2 linked regions of the Drosophila melanogaster genome follow. The protein of the gene in region 1 interacts with the protein of each later gene in a pairwise test. Each region holds a gene or a part of one and is shown on either strand. Other genes may lie near its edges.

Region 1 (3,759 bases):
GTCCAGCCGATGAAAAATGCATAAGATTGGACAAGTGTCTTCGTATCCATAATACTACGATGGAAGATGGGGCCAATTTAATGGATAACAGACAGTGTGCCATCGATACCAGAAGAATAGATTCGGATAAGCGCCACTACATCTGCTGCCCGGAACCAGGTAACGTTCTACCAACGTCCTGTGGACAAGCTCCGCCTCTTTATCGAATGGCATATGGCACAGCGGCGAGGCCAAATGAATATCCTTGGATGGCCATGCTTATCTACGAGAATCGCAGACTATCGACCATGACCAACAACTGTAGTGGCTCCCTGATTAACAAACGCTACGTCCTCACCGCTGCACACTGTGTGGTCAAGGATAAAATGGTGAACACAGATTTGGTGCTCAGGAGAGTGCGGCTGGGCGAGCATGATATTACCACCAATCCGGATTGCGACTTTACAGGAAACTGCGCTGCCCCCTTTGTAGAGATCGGCATCGAGTATTTCAATGTCCACGAACAATATTTCAACACCTCAAGGTTTGAAAGCGATATCGCCTTGGTGCGTCTTCAAACGCCAGTTCGGTGAGTATTGCAATATAAGGCATCATTTTCTGACTATTATGAACCAAAGTTTTTATTTCCTTAGATATACCCACGAAATTCTACCGATTTGTGTGCCGAAAGATCCCATCCCCTTGCATAATCACCCATTGCAAATCGCCGGTTGGGGCTACACGAAAAACAGAGAATATAGTCAGGTGTTGTTGCATAACACCGTTTATGAAAACAGATATTATTGCCAAGACAAGATATCGTTCTTCCGCAACGAATCACAAATCTGTGCTTCTGGCATTCGAGGAGAAGACTCCTGTGAGGGTGATTCCGGAGGTCCCTTGATGTTAACCCTTAATAATGATTACCAGGATATCGTATATCTGGCCGGTATCGTTTCATATGGAAGTGAGAATTGCGGAGATAGAAAACCAGGTGTTTACACAAAGACTGGAGCATTTTTCTCATGGATAAAGGCAAATTTGAAGCCATAACTTTCTTGCTAAGGAATCTCGACTAGTGTATGGTGTTTGTTAATATGTGAATGCATTTTGTTTGTATGAGTGAATGTGTTTTTTTTGTGGATTATGGAATTATGGAAAATTCAATCAAGTAGCCAGTAAAATCAAATATGCACATAAGAATGAGTTTTAATATGTATTTTATTTATTTGATTAAATTAATAACACAATAAATCGAATTTACTTAATGATTTTGATTTTTTAAACGTTCTTTTCTGAGTTACATTTGTGCGTTGACAGTACACTGCCCGAAAACAAAGGCCGATAATGATTAAATTTACAATTGGGATTATCGTGTGGCACAACAAATAGTCTTTGCCACCAAAATACCATCAGACCGAATCAAAACAAAGCATCCATCAAAGTACGGCAAGATGGAAAATGTGAGGAGAAAATACGAAATGGAAAAAGACGAGAAGGGAAAAGTGGAAAAATGAAGATGGAAAGTGCTCGAGCAAACCACGGTCCTAAGACAAAAGATTTACAATATCGCTGGGGAAGATTTAAAGGTGATTTCCAAAGATATATATTGTGCCTGAGCAGCGATAAATAAACACAATTCTTTGACTATTTTTATTTCGGCCTCTCCTATTTTATTTATTTTTTTGCTCAATTTCTCGCTTTTTTCTCGGCCGTTGCAACTATAACTCAATAGAAAAGTGGCTGCCATTGATGGGATCTGTGGACGGGGGGCCGGATTTTCCACTAAATGTGTCACATTAACGAATTGTTGAGCTCCCCGAAAGCTAATTTATGCCACCACCTCCCCCACCAACCCACACTAATCGCTGGCCAGGTAAAATTCAATTTATTTGATTTGAACTAAGCCTTTCACAAACACGCTTCACATTGAGCGGAAAATCGCGTTGAAAACTCACGAAAATTAAAAAAAAAAGGGGAGGGGCGTGGCCTGCGGCAGCGTCCTTCTGCCTTAGAGAACCGCCAATGTCGTCTAATGGCGGGGCGCCTCTAAAAATAGGAACCACTCGAGAGCCACTCAGCCACTCAAAACGCAGCAGCATCCGCACTCCGAGAGGATCGCGAGCACATCTGGGGGCCCACGATATCTTGGATTCTTGGATATTGTCACCAAATGTGTTGCGATTGCGACGGAAGGCGGTACACACACTCGCGTACGGTCCGCAAATCGAAGTCGAAAAATATTTTTGAAAATGTCGGAGGTTTTTACAAAGCATCATTAAAGTGTAACCAACTAATTAAGGTTCTATTTTAAAAATCCCGAAAGTGAAACTATAACAAATTAAATTAAATAGAAACCACAGCCTAAAACTTGTGTGTAACCATAACTCATAAATTTGTGTTAATGACCTAGCATACCTAGAAAAAGAGCTTAAACCACGTTAAAAATGGTAATAATCAACTGACTAAATTAACTGTGCCATCGTAATTAGTATCAGCAATTAAATTCAGCAACTTGTTGAACTACCAAAATTGTTTTGTAAAATATAACAAAATCGTAGTGAAGTGAAAAATGACCAAGTATAATAGTGGCAGCAGTGAAATGCCTGCGGCTCAAACCATCAAGCAGGAGTACCACAATGGCTATGGTCAGCCGACACATCCTGGATACGGATTTAGCGCCTATAGCCAACAGAATCCGATAGCCCATCCCGGCCAGAATCCACACCAGACACTGCAGAATTTCTTTAGCCGCTTCAATGCCGTCGGTGATGCGAGTGCGGGAAATGGTGGAGCGGCTTCCATCTCAGCCAACGGATCGGGTTCGTCTTGCAACTACAGTCATGCGAATCATAATCCGGTTGAGCTGGACAAGCCATTGGGCATGAATATGACACCGTCGCCCATCTACACCACCGACTACGATGACGAGAACAGCAGTCTCAGCTCCGAGGAGCACGTCCTGGCGCCCCTCGTCTGCTCCTCCGCCCAATCCTCCAGACCATGCCTCACCTGGGCCTGCAAGGCGTGCAAAAAGAAGAGCGTCACCGTGGACCGTCGGAAAGCGGCCACTATGAGGGAACGCCGGAGACTGCGAAAGGTAGGCATCCCATGCTCACATTACACACATTTTCAGATTTATCAAATATTAAAAACATATTGTGCAATAACTACTGATACAAATACAGCACTTTCATCTTTCAATCATTCATTAAAAGAATGGTTCACTTTAAAAGTAGATTTTTGATTCATTCAATTCATTATTATAATAATAACTTAAAACTGCTTATGGGGACTTGAATATAGGCATACCACTCAGAACTCTGTTCAAGAGTCCTTTTCCATCAGCAGGCTTATTAATCCTCGGTCGATCTTAAAAATAGATTACGCCACAGTTCGCAAGTCCCCTGCGTTTAAGGACTGCAACTTTGTAGTAATTTCATTAGCTCGGCTAGCACCCCACAAATTAACACATCGCCACCAGGGAGGATCGGATCCATTGACATAACGCGCAGAAAGGGAAACCACCCAACATGCGTAAAACATAAACATTTGCCAAGACCAAGAGTTAAACAGCGGCATTTATGAGTTCGACGGTCGTAAAAGTTTTGGATGAACCACACGTATTTATAGCTCCACATAGAGACATTAGTGAAAGGCGGAAAATCGTGGGAGCTCCGGTTAGAAGGGGTATGGTGATGGGGGGCTGTCATAAAGAGACAGACGACGGGCGAACGGCTTAATTGTTGAAAATTTTATGCTCTATTTAATTTAAAATAT
Region 2 (3,759 bases), on another chromosome or scaffold:
ACCAGTGTTTTCGATTCAATTCTGTACAGACGTCCGGGCCCACAAGTAAGTTATTCGATTTGTCTGCCCAGCTCACCAATAACAAATTATTTTATTTTCAACAGGATATTCGAAATTACAGTGAGGTTCAAAAGGTTCTGCGCGATGAGATCGTCAATCCATTGCGAAAAAACGTTTTCGTTCGATCCGATCGTGTGATGAAACTGCGCGAGCTCCTAGATCAGCTAAGTTCGGTCAGCGGTCTCACCTGCGAGGAAAAGGATCCTGAAGAGTTCCTAAATAGTTTGCTCTCACAAATAATGCGAGTTGAACCGTTTCTAAAGGTGCTTATTGTACTCATTATTGCATAGATTTTTATACTAAATAATTTACATGTTTTTTTTTTTTTTTTTTTTTTGTAGCTAAGCTCGGGGCAAGATTCTTATTTTTACCAACTCTTTGTGGAGAAGGATGAGAAGTTAACATTACCGAGTGTGCAACAATTGTTTGAGCAAAGCTTTCACTCATCGGATATAAAACTAAAGGAGGTTCCTTCTTGTTTCATCATTCAAATGCCTCGTTTCGGAAAGAACTACAAGATGTATCCAAGGATATTGCCATCGCAGGTTCTTGATGTCACAGACATAATTGAAAATTGTAGGTGTTCAACAATATAACAATTTGCATTTCGAATCTTAACAAAATTCAACTTGCAGCTCCTCGACAGTGCTCACTTTGTGGCAAACTAGCTGAATACGAGTGCCGGGATTGCTTTGGCAGCTTGCAGGCTGGATCAGGACTGGAATGCACCGCCTTTTGTCCAAAATGTCTCAAGACATTTCACAGTCACATCAAAAGGTCAGCTATCTTCATAGATAAATGAATGAAAACCAATTAAAAACCTATCTTTCAGAACGAATCATGTGTCGAAGAAGATTTATAGTCCGAAGGAATTTAAAATCATGGCCGAGCACATGGTTGTCCCGCGATTGTACATGGAGTTATTTGCAGTCGTTTGCATAGAAACATCTCACTACGTGGCATTTGTCAAGTCTGGATCCGGACCAGATGCTCCATGGTGTTTCTTCGATTCAATGGCTGATCGAAAAGGCAAGCAAAATCTTAGTTTTAACCTAACAAGTTTCTTATACTTACGCAAATGTTATTTCAGGCGAACAGAATGGATACAATATACCTGAAATTACGTGTGTTCCAGAATTAACACAGTGGCTCTCGGAAGAAGGCGCACGATCTATAAATGAAACTTCAACGAACGATAAAGTATTACCTGAACACGCCAAGCGTATTTTTTGCGATGCCTATATGTGTCTGTACCAAAGCACAGATATAATGATGTACCATTAGAGCAAATTTATCAATAAATTAAATGAATGCAATAAAATTTTTGTAAAAATCACATGTGAAATGGATTTTGTGCCTATTAATGGTTATTGGTTTGTTGAAAAATATGTTTTATGATATTAATATGGGTAGGCTTTACATATATAACAGGAAAAAATAAAGATAGGTGGTTTTCTATAACTAATATACCAAGTAGCTTATATTTTTTTTACAAAAAGTTTGTAACAATTAGGAAGTGCTTTTTGTTAGGAGAAGTTTTCAAGGTGACTCCAGAAACAGGACTGAACCATCTAGAGAACTACGGATCACTAGACCATGAAAGGCAGTTCATATTCCGGATATATATGGATGTATGTATACACGGGAGTACATACATACATATAAATCTTGAAGTGCCCACCATTGGTCGACGCAAAACGTCGGCGATTGCGATTGGTGGATTTGGAGGGAGGATATCCAGATGTTGTTCACTCGACGGCGCACATTCACTAAACAAGTGAAAAAGTTTTTCAGTTACTTGCCAGACATCAAAGACGAGTTTTACGTGCGACGCACTATCTGCGAAAATGTCGATCTTAAGCCGCGAATTTGATTTGAATTTAATTACGTTAAATTAGAAAATGTTTAAGAATTCCGTTGCCTTGACGTGCGAATACTCAACCATGTATTATAACTCAATTTATAATACTTCCAACATGTTCGACATGAAACGTAAATGTTTAAATCATTCTTCTTACTTCGCTGTTATTTAAATAAAATTGGGACAGTGATTTGTGGTACCAATTCCAGTACAAAAGCGACTTTTATTTTATATTTTCGTGTGTATGGAAAATAATGTATATATTTTCCAAATATTTCAGACTCCGAAAGTCAAGTTCAGCAACAAATATATAACACAAGTCACCTAGGTTATGTGCCAACTTCGAATACTCGGATTGTTAAGAAACGTAATACAGCTAACAAAAAGGAGAGAAGGCGAACCCAAAGTATAAACAATGCGTTTTCCTATCTGCGAGAAAAGATTCCCAACGTTCCTACAGATACTAAATTATCAAAGGTAACTTCACCGACGGATAGATAATCTTGAATTTAATACTTAAATACACCAATAAGCACATGAAGGTTGGATTTTAATGTTTCCTACTTAAGTCAATCTTAACTATATTCTACTTTTACTTTGTTTAAGAATTAAGATAAAATAGCCAGCGAAAAATATATTTTATAATAACTTATTCAATTATTTATAAATTTGAAGTTTGTTTGTGTCCGTTTGCTTGGTTTACTTGACAGATTAAAACATTGAAGTTGGCCATATTGTACATAAACTATTTAGTTAATGTTCTTGATGGAGATCTGGATCCAAAAGGCGGATTTCGAGCCGAACTTAAGCCGGTCAGTCGAAAGATCTGTAGCGAAAAGAAGCACTGTTTGAAATCAGAGATTCAAGTAAGAGAGTAATTTACTTTGTCATGCTTTCAATAACAAACCAATCACTACATATATTTAAATTGATCGCTTTGAATTTTGGATTTAAGTTTATCCGGCGGAATAACAATTCATACATATTTTTGCCGCTTTTCATGCATTCAAACAAAAAAATTATTAAAAATCTTTTTTGTTTTTACTGTAGGTAAATGAGTTAAGATACCATAACCTAATTGATATTTCATTCAAAAAACATATTGGCTTGCTGATTTTTGTTGTACAAAGATATAGATAAAGACAATGTTCCCGCTATAAGGGGCGTATTGTTTGTTTTTTTGCATTGATATATAGTTATAGTTCTACTATTCTATTTGGCTTTTTCATTTCGTTGAGATCTCTGCTCGGAATTTGTATTTTTATGGTACACAAGATATTTTCTCCCCCTTTTTCTGCACTGGGGCGTAGATATCTCAATTGTTTGTTTATTATAAGAAACAAAAGCACTTGACTTTATAAAAGAGCATTTTACGTTTTTCCCTCAAAGAAATAGGCGTAATTCCATTCCCCTTGTAATCCGCAGATAAAAACTCGATTGATTGTAGATATATTCCTAATGGAAGTGCGGTGCCATGTTTAGCTTCAAAAATCGGGTTTCGAAATATATGTACACAGGTCCAGTGACCAGTTGTAAGTTGTACTTTATTGTGCAATTTCGGAAGTGATAAACCGCAGACGCCTGCATCCGTAATTGAGAATCCATGCTAACCAACCGCCTCCTTCATAAAATGGGGGTGAAATAATGGCTGGGAACACTTATTTAATAGGGCAATCTGGTTTTAGATATGAACACAAGAGACAAGTGTCTAAGTGGTGCTTCAGAAACATTTTAATCCATTAGGGGTTTGATTAATTAAGTGCCTTTTTGGAAATATTGAAGTTTTGAAGTATTCTTTTTTATTAAAATTTTTTGAACCTATAAGCTTTGCTTAAGTA

Evidence for each region. Proteins that work in one complex are often made in the same cells at the same time.
Region 2: the proteins of nau (region 1) and Hand interact in a two-hybrid assay, tested with the Drosophila melanogaster proteins (one study listed by BioGRID).

What each region holds. Positions count from the first base shown.
Region 1 is NT_033777.3:23,716,749-23,720,507, reverse strand, and holds the start of nau (nautilus), read left to right. Parts: upstream 1-2,150; 5' UTR 2,151-2,551; coding exon 2,552-3,079; intron 3,080-3,759. Other genes in the region: CG10232 (uncharacterized protein), read left to right, coding at 1-568, 633-1,032. UniProt on the Drosophila melanogaster protein: May play an important role in the early development of muscle.
Region 2 is NT_033779.5:10,293,502-10,297,260, reverse strand, and holds the start of Hand (hand), read left to right. Parts: upstream 1-1,875; 5' UTR 1,876-1,961; coding exon 1,962-2,052; intron 2,053-2,201; coding exon 2,202-2,398; intron 2,399-2,631; coding exon 2,632-2,787; intron 2,788-3,759. Other genes in the region: CYLD (cylindromatosis), read left to right, coding at 1-45, 105-323, 402-636, 696-837, 893-1,089, 1,151-1,344.